2 linked regions of the Saccharomyces cerevisiae S288C genome follow. The protein of the gene in region 1 interacts with the protein of each later gene in a pairwise test. Each region holds a gene or a part of one and is shown on either strand. Other genes may lie near its edges.

Region 1 (7,364 bases):
CCAATTATTTGGTAATACAAACAGCTCCCGTGAAAGAAGTGCACTAGGAAGTATGATTAGGAAGCAAGCTGAATCATATGCGAACTCCACTTGGGAGGTCTTACAATACAAGGATTCCGGTGAGCCAGGGGTTTTGGAAGTATTTGTAACAATTAATGGCAAAGTCCAGAACATCACCTTCCATATACCAAAAACTATTTATATGAAATTCAAATCTCAAACAATGCCGCTACAAAAGATTAAGAATTGCCTTATTGAAAAATCTTCTGCATCGTTACCAAATAATCCCAAAACGTCTAATCCAGCAGGCGGTCAGCTATTCAAAATTACTCTACCGGAATCTGTCTTTCTGGAAGAAAAGGAAAACTGCACTAGTATCTTCAACGATGAAAATGTACTTGGTGTATTTGAGGGCACTATCACTCCTCATCAAAGAGCGATCATGGATTTGGGAGCTTCGGTAACGTTCCGCTCAAAAGCAATGGGTGCGTTAGGCAAGGGAATACAGCAGGGTTTTGAAATGAAGGATCTTTCAATGGCGGAAAATGAAAGGTATCTGAGTGGATTTTCAATGGACATTGGCTATTTACTACATTTCCCAACATCAATTGGGTATGAATTTTTTTCATTATTCAAGTCATGGGGAGATACTATTACTATATTAGTTTTGAAACCATCCAACCAGGCTCAGGAAATAAATGCCTCATCATTAGGACAAATATACAAACAAATGTTTGAAAAAAAGAAAGGTAAAATAGAAACATATTCTTACTTGGTTGATATTAAAGAAGATATCAATTTTGAGTTTGTATATTTTACAGATATCTCAAAATTGTACAGAAGACTATCACAGGAAACTACTAAATTAAAAGAAGAAAGAGGTCTGCAGTTTTTACTCTTGTTACAATCTCCGTTTATCACTAAGCTCTTAGGCACAATCCGGCTTCTAAACCAGATGCCCATTGTTAAGCTTTCCTTGAATGAAGTTCTTCTACCCCAATTGAACTGGCAACCGACATTATTGAAGAAACTTGTTAACCACGTTTTATCCAGTGGTTCGTGGATTTCTCACTTGATCAAGTTATCCCAGTATAGTAACATTCCAATCTGTAATTTGAGGCTGGATAGTATGGATTATATTATTGATGTTCTTTATGCAAGAAAACTAAAAAAAGAGAACATCGTGCTTTGGTGGAATGAGAAAGCTCCACTTCCAGATCATGGAGGCATTCAAAATGATTTTGATTTAAATACATCATGGATAATGAATGATTCAGAATTTCCCAAAATTAATAACTCAGGTGTGTATGACAATGTAGTTCTCGATGTTGGTGTTGATAATTTAACAGTGAACACAATTTTGACATCAGCATTAATCAATGATGCTGAAGGCAGTGATCTAGTTAACAATAATATGGGTATAGATGACAAAGATGCCGTTATTAACTCGCCATCTGAATTCGTGCACGACGCCTTTTCTAATGACGCTTTGAATGTTTTAAGAGGTATGTTAAAGGAGTGGTGGGATGAGGCCCTAAAAGAAAATTCAACCGCAGATTTGTTGGTAAATTCCCTGGCAAGTTGGGTTCAAAACCCGAATGCGAAACTATTCGACGGATTACTAAGATATCACGTTCATAACTTAACAAAAAAAGCCTTACTTCAATTAGTAAATGAATTTAGTGCACTTGGCTCAACTATTGTATATGCAGACAGGAATCAAATTCTAATAAAGACAAACAAGTACTCACCTGAAAACTGTTACGCCTACAGCCAATATATGATGAAGGCAGTTAGAACAAATCCAATGTTTAGTTATCTGGACTTAAATATCAAACGTTATTGGGATCTGCTAATATGGATGGATAAGTTTAATTTTAGTGGATTAGCATGTATTGAAATAGAGGAAAAGGAAAATCAGGATTATACCGCTGTTTCGCAATGGCAACTAAAGAAGTTTCTGTCACCAATATATCAGCCCGAATTTGAGGATTGGATGATGATCATATTGGATAGTATGCTAAAGACAAAGCAGAGCTATCTAAAATTGAATTCAGGGACGCAAAGACCTACCCAAATAGTTAATGTAAAAAAACAAGATAAGGAAGATAGTGTTGAAAACTCGTTGAACGGATTTTCTCACCTTTTTTCCAAACCACTAATGAAAAGAGTCAAAAAGCTTTTTAAAAACCAGCAAGAGTTCATTTTAGATCCTCAGTATGAGGCAGACTATGTTATTCCTGTTCTTCCTGGTTCCCATCTGAATGTGAAAAATCCCCTTCTAGAACTTGTCAAATCACTCTGCCATGTCATGTTACTTTCAAAGAGTACAATTTTAGAAATCAGGACCCTGAGAAAAGAACTGCTGAAGATATTTGAATTGCGTGAGTTTGCTAAAGTAGCGGAATTCAAAGATCCAAGTTTGAGTCTCGTGGTGCCGGATTTTTTATGTGAATACTGTTTTTTCATTTCTGATATTGACTTTTGTAAGGCAGCTCCTGAATCTATTTTTTCATGCGTCAGATGTCACAAAGCCTTTAATCAAGTATTGTTGCAAGAACACCTGATTCAAAAACTACGTTCTGATATCGAATCCTATTTAATTCAAGATTTGAGATGCTCCAGATGTCATAAAGTGAAACGTGACTATATGAGTGCCCACTGTCCATGTGCCGGCGCGTGGGAAGGAACTCTCCCCAGAGAAAGCATTGTTCAAAAGTTAAATGTGTTTAAGCAAGTAGCCAAGTATTACGGTTTTGATATATTATTGAGTTGTATTGCTGATTTGACCATATGAGTAAGCAGTATATAACGCGAGGTTCAATGGCCTCTTTACCATGAAAAAAAAAAAAAAAAAAAAAAAAAGGTAAGGAAAAAGAGTATTTTCAATTCGTTTCTGAACATATAAATATAAATAACCGAAAAATTAGCCCTTGAACATAATTAACACTCTTCTTTGATATTTAAATCACAAGTACTTTTCTTTTATTTTCTTCTTAATACTTTTGGAAATAAAATGAATGTGACCACTCCGGAAGTTGCTTTTAGGGAATATCAAACCAACTGTCTCGCATCGTATATTTCTGCTGATCCAGACATAACTCCTTCAAATTTAATCTTGCAAGGTTATAGTGGAACAGGAAAAACCTACACTTTGAAGAAGTATTTTAATGCGAATCCAAATTTGCATGCAGTATGGCTGGAACCTGTTGAGTTGGTTTCTTGGAAGCCCTTACTGCAGGCGATAGCACGTACTGTACAATATAAATTGAAAACCCTATATCCAAACATTCCCACCACAGATTACGATCCTTTACAGGTTGAAGAGCCATTTCTTTTGGTAAAGACGTTGCACAATATTTTTGTCCAATATGAATCTTTGCAAGAAAAGACTTGCTTGTTCTTGATATTGGATGGTTTCGATAGTTTACAAGATTTAGACGCCGCACTGTTTAACAAATATATCAAACTAAATGAATTACTTCCAAAAGATTCTAAAATTAATATAAAATTCATTTACACGATGTTAGAGACATCATTTTTGCAAAGATATTCTACACATTGCATTCCAACTGTTATGTTTCCGAGGTATAATGTGGACGAAGTTTCTACTATATTAGTGATGTCTAGATGTGGCGAACTCATGGAAGATTCTTGTCTACGTAAGCGTATCATTGAAGAGCAGATAACGGACTGTACAGACGATCAATTTCAAAATGTAGCTGCGAACTTCATTCACTTAATTGTGCAGGCTTTTCATTCTTATACTGGAAACGACATATTCGCATTGAATGACTTGATAGACTTCAAATGGCCCAAGTATGTATCTCGCATTACTAAGGAAAACATATTTGAACCACTGGCTCTTTACAAAAGTGCCATCAAACTATTTTTAAGCACAGATGATAATTTAAGTGAAAATGGACAAGGTGAAAGCGCGATAACCACAAATCGTGATGACCTTGAGAACAGTCAAACTTACGACTTATCAATAATTTCGAAGTATCTGCTCATAGCCTCATATATTTGTTCATATCTGGAACCTAGATACGATGCGAGTATTTTCTCTAGGAAAACACGTATCATACAAGGTAGAGCTGCTTATGGACGAAGAAAGAAGAAAGAAGTTAACCCTAGATATTTACAGCCTTCTTTATTTGCTATTGAAAGACTTTTGGCTATTTTCCAAGCTATATTCCCTATTCAAGGTAAGGCGGAGAGTGGTTCCCTATCTGCACTTCGTGAGGAATCCTTAATGAAAGCGAATATCGAGGTTTTTCAAAATTTATCCGAATTGCATACATTGAAATTAATAGCTACAACCATGAACAAGAATATCGACTATTTGAGTCCTAAAGTCAGGTGGAAAGTAAACGTTCCCTGGGAAATTATTAAAGAAATATCAGAATCTGTTCATTTCAATATCAGCGATTACTTCAGCGATATTCACGAATGATTATCTCCCTGGAAGGTATCCAGAGGGCAGGATACGTTCGAAACAACAACTACGTTATATAAATATTTATACATAGTGGGATAGAATGAACAATTATCAAGTAAACCTTGTATTTTTTGTTCCCACGCTCTACGCTCTGTTTCTTGGATATGGTAATCAAAGATTAATACGTATAACCGTTATTAATTCAGTCCACTAGAAACTATTAAAAGCGCCCTACTGTATGGAAAAACAATGAATGAGGAGACTGAACGGCGCAAAATTGTTAGTTTAGTTGCTCTTTTTGGCGGCCGGCGATAATGTTCTTCACTTGGTATTCTTACCAGGATTGAGCCTGATTTTGTTTTGTCTTATTCTTTGCGATGTCTTCATTTTCTACAAAACCTCTAATTTCTCCGGCAATGGCCCTTGAAACGTCTTCAAAGACTTCAAATGTCACGGTGGGGGTTCTTTTATCTTTAACTAATCGATGAAGAGTTATTAGAATGGTTCTAAACTTATTTTTCAATTTTATTAACACCCTCTCAAATTCCATCACACTTTCATCATCGTTATTCATTTTCAAACCTTTCATTAAAGTACGAATGGTATGTATATTCTTTTCTAGTGTTGGACTATGCAATCCATACGATTCTATAACATCACACAAACCTTCCATTTGTCCCAGGAGCGTAAATCTTTGGAATCCCACTTGTAAACCATACTGTTTACCTTCTAGAAAGCTCTGCTTTATATTCTCATTCTGGCCCTCCAGAAAACCTTCTTGGTAATACTGTTCTTCTAGGTTTAGTAAATTATCAAAATCCATTTTTATTTGTCCAGTGATCTTTACTTTCCATTTACTCTTCAAATATGATAAGTGATTTGATTTAAACAAGTTTTTTTTCATTTTTCTTATAAAACGATTTCTCACCATGATTGAGATTTTTATATTAGTAAGATTATACTGAAAAGGCAAATGGCTACATAGCCAACAAAGAATAAAACAATAAAACAATAAAAAAAGACTTTTTTCTTCGTAAGCATCCTATTGAGAATATTAATCATTTACTTAAGTAGCTACAATACAAAATAGAGTAAAAAACTATTTCTCTTCACTTTCATTCACAATTGTTTGCCAGATCTAACTTCCTTTCCGGTTTTCTTAATCTTTTCTAAAATAAAATCGTAAGGAAGTGTAGTATATACATCTACTAATTGCTTTTCAAGGGATATATCTATTTTGGAAACGTCTGGTTCTAATTTCGTCAAAACTTTATTGACTGCACCAGAACATCCCGAGCAGGTCATGACGACATTGAATTGATAATGTTTTATCTCTGCCATCTTTTGCGCTAGTTCTCTCTTGTGTCGTTGGAAATCTCATCCTGCAATGTTTTAAGATGATTCAAGTCATTTAAGAAGCTCAAAAATGCACTACAAGATGTGCCAACTTTGCACCCCCAAAAAAAACTACCGCATCACGTGAAATTTATTAGAAAACTGAAAAAAAGACAACTTACGCATACGTAATACAAGATGTACATCTATTGCAATGATCATGTAACCTATCCTACGATTAATTATTTTTTAATCATCTAGAGCAGTGCCTCTAATTTCGTAAATATCATCAATGGCATTCCTTCGCAGGGGAGTGTCGGCAAACAATAACTCTATCCATTGGATTAGTTCGTCTGTCGCAAAAAGATAAAAATCCCCATTGTAAAACATCTCCATAATCTCCTTTAAATGTAATGGTAGAAACTTGCCCATAGTGGCGAATTTTTCTCTCATCTTTTTGTAACTTGGTTCCTTCGCTAATAATTGTATATCGGTGTTGTTCACTAATAAAGATACGAGCTCACCCAAATTTTCGGAATTGACCTCAGAGATAATCTGCCATTTTAATATTTCCTTTGTCACGCAATCGTTATATAAAAAGTTTAAGAAAGACAACAAGTAACGGGAACCTTCTTCACCTCTTATTTTCTGCAGTGGACGAACAATTTCCTTCAAGATATAAGGTAGCAGTTTCTCAATGGTGGCGTCCCACGATGGATTTCTCTCGTTCTCACGAAATTCGGTCAATTGATGCCTGATTAGTTGACAGACAATACGATATTTCATGTTCAGTTTAGTTTCCAGCAGGTTCCTTGTTAATTCTTTTATTCTATACAGCTTTTCATCTCGTTCTATTAGATATCTCATATCCACATATAATTGGCACCAATTGTGAGAAAAATTAGCTGTGCACATGGCCATATACGATGTCTGCAAAAGGTTGTATTTGTACGCAAAGTATTGCTCATCAACATGGCTATCTGCAAAGCTACTCTTGAAATTCTGTGAAATTGCCAAGAACAATTTTGGTAACTGTGTAACTTCAATGTGGTCTTTATCAAGTGATCCTACATCATGAGCTTTTAAATGTTCCTTTCCATTTTCTAGGGAAGCATCATCTATATTTTCGTCAATTGCCCAGGCTTCATCCCAGGCATTTTCTTCTTCTTCTGGTTCTTTTTCCTTCTCTTGATTTGTTTTTTCTTCCTCGTCGTCAATATTTACATCAATTTCATCACCCCATGCATCGGCATCATCATCCTCTACTTCCCAATTCCAATCATCATCTTTGGATACGGCATTATGGAGTTCTTTTTCGTTCTGTACATCTGAATCATTTTTTCCAATTTTTTCGCTCATCGTATTAGTATTGCTAGTAGTGAGCTCAACTACTTCCAAATTTTGCCAGCTCTTTTTTGGATCTTCAAATATACTTCTTATCTCACTAATATGCGATTCAAGAACTTTATCTAGTAATAAATTGTAGTATAATTGTTTGTTCATTAACAAATCCTGAATCTCTTTACCGGAATGTGTCCAATTGGTAACTTCTGATTTGGCAACTAGTCTAGTTAGTTTGTTATTTATG
Region 2 (9,596 bases), on another chromosome or scaffold:
GACGCAAATCAAGCACAAATAACGGCCACATTTACGAAGAAGATATTAGCGCATTTGGATGATCCGGACTCCAACAAATTGGCCCAATTCGTACAGCTTTTTAATCCAAACAACTGCAGAATAATATTTAATGCTACCCCCTTCGCGCAAGCAACAGTTTTTCTGCAAATGTGGCAAAACCAGGTCGTACAAACACAACATGCCCTAACAGGAGTAGACTATCACGCTATTCCGGGATCCGGCACGTTGATATGCAACGTCAATTGCAAAGTCAGATTCGACGAAAGCGGCAGAGACAAGATGGGGCAAGACGCGACTGTTCCCATTCAACCAAATAACACTGGGAACAGAAATCGACCCAACGATATGAACAAGCCAAGACCTCTATGGGGTCCATATTTTGGCATTTCCCTGCAGCTGATCATCGACGACCGCATATTTAGAAATGATTTTAATGGTGTAATATCGGGGTTTAACTATAACATGGTTTACAAACCCGAGGATTCTCTGCTAAAAATTTAGTGGGAAGATTCCGCTCTACCAGGGAAAAACAAAATTATATAGAAAAGAAGGTAAGTAATAAGTAATACGAAAAAACCCAAAAAAAAAATTCAAATACCCCAACCCTGTGCCCTTTCTATTTTTATGGTTGAAAAGGTTACAGAGGATCCTCTGGAGCGGTGACAACAGTTGACGCAATCATGGTCCCTGGCGGTCCCTAAGGATATCTCGGAGGAACCGAGGCACGGAAACGGCTGCACGGGTACGCCAGATAAGGATAATTCAGCCGTCACGCATGAACAGAAGGATGAGCATTTGCTCACCTTCCTGGACTTAACTTGCGTGAATGAAAAGAAGAACACCAATGTTAGAGTAGGGCTTCGCACCAAACTTTAATCAAGAAATCTGAGGAGAAATGATTCTAAGTCTAGCCACGAAAACTGCAAAGCGCACCAAAAGTAAGAAACGACAAAGTTTTTCTAGCATTTTTTTGTTTCATCAAGAGAAGAAACACGATTTATATAACTGTTACCGCTAAAACCTACATCTAAACTTTTTAATATCTGAAAGCGCTAGTCGTGTGTACCCCCCTCAACTGATCAACTGGTCAACGAGCTTTACTTGTGGAAGTTCATGGCAAACGCTCCTTGGCTTTTGCCTAGTCTTGTTCTATGGCACATTTTTCTGTTGAGTTACACCCCGCGTGCTAAAAAAGGGGTGAACCATCAGAAAGCTTATTACTGAGTTTTGCGGAGCATCGCTCGGAGCGGCGGAATTGAATCGAACCGCCGTGCTATTACCGAACAAAAAAATTCGAAAGCATAAACTCAGTAGTGAAAAACTTGAGAATTTTCAGATGAGTGGCGACTTTCCAGTCCTTGCGGTTTTGTCACCTTAGTCAGCTAGTAAGGAGGCCGTGTGGGTTAGAGTGGCTACAATCCTCAAAGGGCACTTCTAGAACCCACGGTGAATTTTTTTTGGCATGATAAATCGGTAGAATCGGTGAAGTAATTACCCAAAAAAGGATCGGGATTGTGTTTCTCGTAATTCCGTATTATTGCCGATGGCATCGACTACTTCTTTTTTCAGAAACCCCAACAAGGGTCTATTGTAATTGTATATAAACCTTTTTGTAATGGATATATACATGTGGTACTATTTCTCCTCATCCTGCTCCATCGAAAATCCTCATACGAAGAGTTAGGAAAGCAAAGAAAACAACAAAAACATGAGGATCGAAAAGCACCGTACCCCCCTGTCGAAGGGAATTATTTGGACGATATTGTCTGTGTGCCTTTTATTCATGTTCACCACACTGATATTGGTTATTGTAGCCACTGCTGGCTCCACCGCCAACTACAAACCCTTAACGAATATATACATCGGTGAAGCCGATATCAAACACATCAATGTAAGCAAGGTGATCCCGCAGATAGGCCCTATTTTGACAATATTAGGGTCCGCTTTGACGGCTCCGAACAGCTCCTTGGATGATATTTTTGGCGCCATGAAAAATATTGCTGATACTCCCGCGCTGACGCCGCTATTGACGCTTTTGTCTAATGCTGACAACACCACAGTAACCATCGAATCATTGACCGAATTGGCTCCCTTAGCGATCAGCGGCAATCCTGCTTCTAGCACGAGGCAGTTGACAGAGATTAATGGGCTGCTGAAGTATTCAGACAACGCAACTGAAACACTAGATGGCCTCTCAAGGTTAGTTTCTGCTTCGCTGTCTTCCGCAAGCTCTAACTCTTCCAGTGACTCAACTACTTTGGTTCTGGACTTATTAAAAGACTCCGATAACCCACAGAATTCCACAGATGCATTGCTAACTCTGAATAATCTGACAATGTCAGAAAAGGCGCAATTGTTACCGGTATTCAGGCTATTCGCTTTCTCCACGAACCAAACAGCTACAATGACGGCTCTGGCGACCTTGATGAACACTACTATTTCATCTTCTTTAGCCCAAACACTATTAACTCAGTTACAAAACACAATTTCAAACGGAGGTTCCCTAAATAACACGTTTAGTACTTTGCAACCACTAGTGCCGCAGGCAAGCGCCCCCGCATTTGATGCAGTGGAATTGCTGCTAAACCAGACCACCTCTACAAATCAGACATTGAGCACTCTATCTGATTTGCTGGAACAAAACCTCACTCAGTCATCATCTGCAAAAAAGGCGTTTGCTGCCTTAACCCAATTGATGGAAAATTCGGACAACTCGACAATGGTTGTCACTTCGGTCCAATCTCTAGCTGCGGTGACAAATACAACTCAATCTACTCAACAGCTAATTGGATTAGATGATGTGATAAGCTCCTCGAGTAACACCAACGAAACTTTGTCCATCTTGTCCGAATTACAATCGGGCCTATCCGGTAATTCAAGCTCCGTACAGTACATTCCATATCTCTTCAGTCTTTTAGGGGCATCCACTGATCCTAAAACAACATTTTCATCTTTAGTGACGCTGACTTCCTGGGCTCAAGAAAACCCTCAGACCTTCTTGCCCATTTTAGATATATTAGCGGATGCCAAATCCGTCCAACCGATTTCCGCAGAAGAATTGAACGCCATGACGCCGAATATACTAGAGTATCTGAAAATTCCGATTTACTATCGCTTATCCATTTTCACGCTATGCCATGCTAACCTGGAAAACAAGATCCTAGATTGTAACTCCCCACATGCTGTACAAAACTTGGATTTTAGATCGATTATTTATGACGCATTAGTCACATCAGACTTCCAACCATATCTGAACGCCCTGAATATTAGCGCCAACGATCTTTACCTAGAAGGGAAACTTTTACACAGAGAGCACCAATATGTGCCAGCAGTGAGGTCTGTTTTGGCTTTGAACCTCTTAGCGATCATCTTTTCCTTCTTTACCATGATTTTTATTATATTACTGTACTTTAACAGATATATGTTCAAACAACCATTATGGCTCATTGCCCTAGCTCTACACGTTTGCGTTGGTGTAGCCACTGTATTGGCAGCCATTATCATATCCGTTATGATTGCCATTATAAAGAGCGGTACGGCAGATGATAAATATGGTGTTGTGTTTAAAGCCGGTCCCGCCTATACAGGGCTGATATGGACAGCATTTGCGTTGTCTTTTATCGCCACAGGATTGATAATTTATACGTGGTGGAGGAACAGACGGAGTGGTCGTTACATGTCCGGATCTGTGACGAATAGGAAAGGCGAAATTTACACGTATGGGGATGGTTCTGCCATTTCTGCAGACCGTTTCGGCGACCATAACTTGGGTGATGATGATGATGCTGATTTCGAAAAACAGGTGAATCGTAATGAAATAACCGCTATCGACAACAGTAGTTCTGCCAATAATACAGATGTCACAGGTAGTACGAGTAATAGAACAGAGCTAAGTCACCCCGACGTGACACCAAAAGATTCAAATGGACCTGTTAACAATAATGCACATTTGGTAGCATAATTTTTTTCTTTTTCGTAAATGCTCTATCACTTTTTTTCAATTGTACCAAACCATTTACAGCGTTATCTTAATCTCTTATATTGAATTATAGTACATACCACACCATCATCCTTATTTAATAGCTTTATTTAAATTTCAAAACAAAAATTAATAATAATTTGGTAATTATTCATATTTTTGGAATATATGCAATTAATGTTCTTTCGTCTTTGATGTATATTCCTTCGGCGTTAATTACAACTATCACCGTAAAGTTTTTACCACCCTCCGAAAGATTAAGGGCGGCAATGAAATGTGGAGTAAAGTGAATGTTAGATGATGATATTGATGGCTTTGCTCGATCAAAGATAATATTATATTTAAGTATCATCTTGTCCTCAATCCGGTACAAAACAAACGTCTTCAACATTGTTATCTGTATTTTGTTCGTCTTGAATATGGAAAAGACTCAAAAGGGATAATAATACAATTAAAAGTTACCGAAGAAAGATTTTATAATGATCTCAACAGCTTCTGCATTTTATCAGAAGCATAGAGTAAATTTACTGCGTTCTTCATACATAATATTGTTGCTAGCCACGCTTTACAATTCAAATTCCAGTTCTAGTAACAACAAAACTGATAAGAAGGATTCTGAGTCAACGGTTTTAGAAAATAAGAAAATTGAAGAGGGAAAAGAAACCGCAGTAGATAGAGAGGAAGATGAAAGTAGCAAAGAAGAGTTAACGATAGTCTCCAAACATAGCACAGATTCAGAAGATGGTGCAATAATAATTGATAAAGAAAGCAAGACTAATCATAAGGGGGGAGAGCGAAAAGGAAAGGTAGATTTTTTGTTCAAACTTTTGCTTCATGATAAGAAGTGCCTCATTTTATTTATTACACAGGCTATTCTTCTGAACATCAGAACATTGCTGTCTCTTCGTGTGGCTACTTTAGATGGTCAATTAGTGTCCACACTAGTAAGAGCTCAATACGCAAACTTCACAAAGATATTGTTGGGGAAATGGATGATCCTTGGAATTCCCGCCAGTTTTATTAATTCACTGATCAGTTACACGACAAAACTTTGTGCTGTCACTATTAATAGGAAAGTTTCAGACTTTCTACTCTCAAAGTATCTATCTAATCACCATACTTTCTATTCCGTAGCTTCTGCTGAATCTGTTTCAGAAATTCAGGATAATTTGACAAAAGATATTTACACATTTTCAATGAACTCGTCATTATTACTGAATCAGCTATTAAAGCCAATGCTGGATTTGATCCTCTGTTCATTCAAATTATTAACCTCAAACACTAGTGTTATGGGTGAAGGAACTTTGGCACTGGGCTTAATTGTCTACGCCTCCAATTCATTACTAAAATTGATTCAACCGAATTTCACTAGGTTAACTATGGCAAGCGCATCTTTGGAAAGTTGGTTCAGATCTTTACACTCGAATCTACATTCAAGCAATGAAGAAATTGCACTGCTAAGAGGGCAAAAGAGGGAACTAGAAAACGTTGATTATTCATTTTACCGTTTGGTGCTATTTTTAAACAGAGAAATAAAGGCAAGAGCTATTTATGATGTTGCTACTGCATTTGTCATTAAATATACTTGGGGCGCAGCTGGCTTGGTACTATGCTCGATTCCAATATTTTTCAAAAACAAACCTAGTGAAGACACCTTACAGCTTAAGGAACCCGGGAATGATATGACGGCTGATTTCATCACAAATAGAAGATTATTAGTCACTGCATCTAGCTCTATCGGAAGATTTGTGGAACTGAAGAGAAATATACAACAATTACGCGGTATCAGATTGAGATTGAACAAGTTCAATGATTTGTTGGATGCTAATAAAGGTGATGACGAAAAAGAACCAAGAGATGAAAGGTGTATAGTGGAATATGATGATTCAAGGATAAAGTTTGAAAATATTCCTTTAATAACACCTGCCAATCAAGTTCTAGTACCGGAGCTAAGTTTTGATCTGAAGCATGGAAATCATCTACTAATTATTGGGCCCAACGGTTGCGGTAAATCTTCATTATTTCGTATTCTAGGCGGGCTTTGGCCGATAAGGGCGACTCCCAATAAAAATCATCAATCCAAGTTAATAATGCCGCGTAGAACTGTGGATAGAGATTGCGCAATATTTTATTTACCCCAAAGGCCGTATATGGGCAATAGGTCGACATTCAGGGAACAGATTATTTATCCAGACAGTATTGAACAATTCAAAGAAAGATATCACAATGATTATGATCTAGGCGATGCAGATTTAATAAAAATTCTGCAATTATTAGATTTGGAGGATTTAGTCACTGAAAATATGTCACTTCTGCTGGCGCAAAGGACTTCCAAAAATGATTCACAGCAGTTGTCGACGGAAGACAATCAGTCACCATGCGCCATTAAAGTTCGTGATGCATTCAGTATAGTAAGAAATTGGTCCGAAGAATTAACAATTGGTGTCCAACAAAGGTTAGCTATGGCAAGGATGTACTATCATAAACCCAAGTTTGCTGTGCTCGACGAATGTACATCTGCAGTAGCCCCAGAAATGGAACAAAGGATGTACGAAAATGCGCAAAATTTTGGTATCTCGTTAATATCAGTTTGCCACAGGACAAGTTTATGGCATTTTCATAACTATCTGTTAAAATTTGATGGTAAAGGCGGATACCAATTTGGACCGTTTAACCCGAAGGAAAGGTTATGTAATGAAGAAAAACTTCTTGAACTAAATGCCATCTTGGATCAACAGGTGCCACTTTGGGAGCGGAAGTTGAAAGATCTGACAATTGCTAAAGAATCCAACATCATTCGTAAATCAGAAACTAACCTGAATCTTTTTGAAAAGATCGAAGATCCAAAAACGTCCAAATCTAATGCATTGTTTAATGCAAATAAAGGGCAGCGAATCACATCACCTACAGGGCAGGAGACTAGTAAGAGATTACCACTATTTTCCCAACCATCTAGTTCAGCATCATCAAATTTACTAAGAAACAATAAAAGCTTGAACAAAAAAGTTAAAACAAAAAAGGAAGAAGGAAAGGAGAGGTAACATACATAGCCAAAGGAGGATCCAAATCATGTATAAATTGGATAAATAAATTGTTTTATAATAATTTAATATCTTGAGAAAGCGCTCATATTTACGGTTGATTGCTCAATTCCATGTACCGGATCCAACTGTACTGGCTTCCTCAGCCTCCGGTACCAACCTTTTTTTGTATAAATACGTAAAAATACAAAAGTCTGAACTATTTTTCCCTTTTTATGCAAATAAACACTTTCCTATATATAATTTTACTTTTGAATATTCATGTCACGACCCACTGCCTGAGAACTTTCCATTTTTTATAAAGTGAACCAAGTTTTATAGTTATCTTGAATCAGGTGAAGTTGAATGTGTTAAGATGGATGATTGATTGTTCATTACTGATGATGGAGAAGTTATACTGGCGACGTTACTTGAGGATGCATTATTATTAGAAACTTCTGTTGTGGACGAAATTATACGCGGCAAGGAATCAATTTCTTGAACGATGAATTCTCTTTCATCAAGAAAAGTAGAATCCTGAGAATCTAAACCGAAAGTTTTAAAATACGTCAATAGTTTATCTCTGTTTTTAACAAGAATGTCAAAAACAGGTTTTGACTTCCTTGGGTTTGCTACCATCACCTTGAATACGTTGAAAGCTTCAAGTTGTAAGTTTTTAGATTTGTCAGTCATTAAAGTCATTATGAGCTTTAAGTTTTCTGGGGAGTTGATATATATATTCATCAACGCGTTGTTAGATCTTATCACAATTAATGAGGCCAACAGTTTAGTGCTCTGCCTTTTCGTTACGTAGCTTCCATGAGCCATTAACTTGTTAATACATTTAATGAATCTTATGATATTAATCTCATTACTGAAGAATTCCTTAGACACTAATTTAGGATGTGCAGTAAATGCGGCACTTAATATTTGTAAAGATTCCGTACTGATTTCGAAATTACCCAGTTTCGCAAACTCAAAGAATTTCCATAGTTGAGGGTCCTTTAATATAATCCTACAAAGTTGTTCGTATTTGATACATTCAATAATCATATTCCCTACCGTTAAAAAGATATCTTGGCAACCCTTTTGTTGTAGAGCAACTTCCGCAGTCCTCAACATTAAAGATATGGTCTTTGGTTGCGAGACTAAATAATCTACTGTGACGAATTTATTATCCTTAGAGTATCCAAGGCATATAGAGAATATAAGCATGCATTCTCTCCTTGCTTCGAATTCCAAATCCACAAAATGAAGTAGCAGTTCATAGAACACGTCGGCACGATGCATGGCAGTATAAAGCTCGTCAATGGCTTCCGGAGTTGGGTGAGGATCCGTATCACCGACAATAAAATGTTTAGTGCCAATTAGATATTTTGTGCACTCTTCTTGTACCTTTCGTTTGTTATCCTGAGTCAGCGAGGGTGAGCTGAATTTATTTAGTTGTTCGATGATCAACCTGGCATAATCGGAAGGGGTCTTGGGGTTTTTCTTCCACCAAAATGCCATGTCCAAGTCTTGATTTTTGTATTTCTTAAACATTTGTCTTCGATTTGCGGATAATTTATACTGGGGATTACGTGCAATAAGCCTCTTACGGATAACACGTATTCTTTGGCTTAACTACTCCGAGATTAAATCGTATTGTTAAAACAAGAAGCTATCAACGCCTGTAAATATTGTGTCAGTGCCACTTTTGAAACAATTCTGAGACCACTTTTTATTTTTATTTTTCCAAGAGTGCAATCAGCGGGTTTCCTCCTTATTTGCGTTTGGAGCAATCTTCCCTTTTTCGAACACAAAATCCAAAATTTGGAGCAATTGGCTCTTCAAAATCAACGGTACATGCTCCTTATATTGGTAATAAATAATTCATATCCAGCCTCCTCTTATGGCTGCATAATGGAAAGGATCAACGCTTGCAACACAAAAATAAATTAAAAAAAAAAATTACTGAAGGATGCGAGGTTCGAACTCGCGCGGACAACCGTCCAACAGATCTTAAGTCTGCCGCCTTAGACCACTCGGCCAACCCTCCATACAAATTTTACTTACTGGAAACTCCCGAAGTGTTGTCAACACGTTTTAGGATATGAACTTATCCAATAAACCAATATCACAGTTTAACTTTATTGGAATAGGAATCAAAGATGGTCTGTCTCCTAGCATTAGTATTGCTGGTAATTATCATATACGGTGTAAGAAGATAGTATGATGATTGAGAGATAGTCATCGGGTTTAACGGAAGCTGATATGTAAGGATTGATAATGCAGTGGGATAGTGAATAACAACACATAAAACAAAGAAGAAGTAATAATCTTAATTTATATAACTATTGATCCCCCTTTGTGCATTGCCATATTTTTGAGGAAAATCTCTGGTATTCTGTATGTCTGATATCAAAGCTATTAATAACAATGGAATCCCAAAAATTATCAAAGTACACCCCGCAGTTATTACATGAGATCAGCTTCCATCTTGGTATATCTCGTCGCTGACATATATGCTCTCTCTCATCTCTATGTTGTATCATTGCTTTCTTATTGTTTGTTACATATACATATATATATGTATA

Evidence for each region. Proteins that work in one complex are often made in the same cells at the same time.
Region 2: the proteins of ATX1 (region 1) and PXA2 interact in a protein complementation assay, tested with the Saccharomyces cerevisiae proteins (one large-scale study listed by BioGRID).

Annotation. Positions count from the first base shown.
Region 1 is NC_001146.8:152,084-159,447, forward strand, and holds ATX1 (copper metallochaperone ATX1), read right to left. Parts: upstream 5,783-7,364; coding exon 5,561-5,782; downstream 1-5,560. Other genes in the region: POL2 (DNA polymerase epsilon catalytic subunit), read left to right, coding at 1-2,797; ORC5 (origin recognition complex subunit 5), read left to right, coding at 3,017-4,456; ribosome biosynthesis protein LTO1, read right to left, coding at 4,776-5,264; DSL1 (Dsl1p), read right to left, coding at 6,026-7,364. UniProt on the Saccharomyces cerevisiae protein: Copper homeostasis factor that specifically transports copper to the secretory pathway for incorporation into copper enzymes destined for the cell surface or extracellular milieu.
Region 2 is NC_001143.9:83,670-93,265, reverse strand, and holds PXA2 (ATP-binding cassette long-chain fatty acid transporter PXA2), read left to right. Parts: upstream 1-4,479; coding exon 4,480-7,041; downstream 7,042-9,596. Other genes in the region: MTR2 (Mtr2p), read left to right, coding at 1-522; FAT3 (Fat3p), read left to right, coding at 1,730-3,982; HYM1 (Hym1p), read right to left, coding at 7,363-8,562.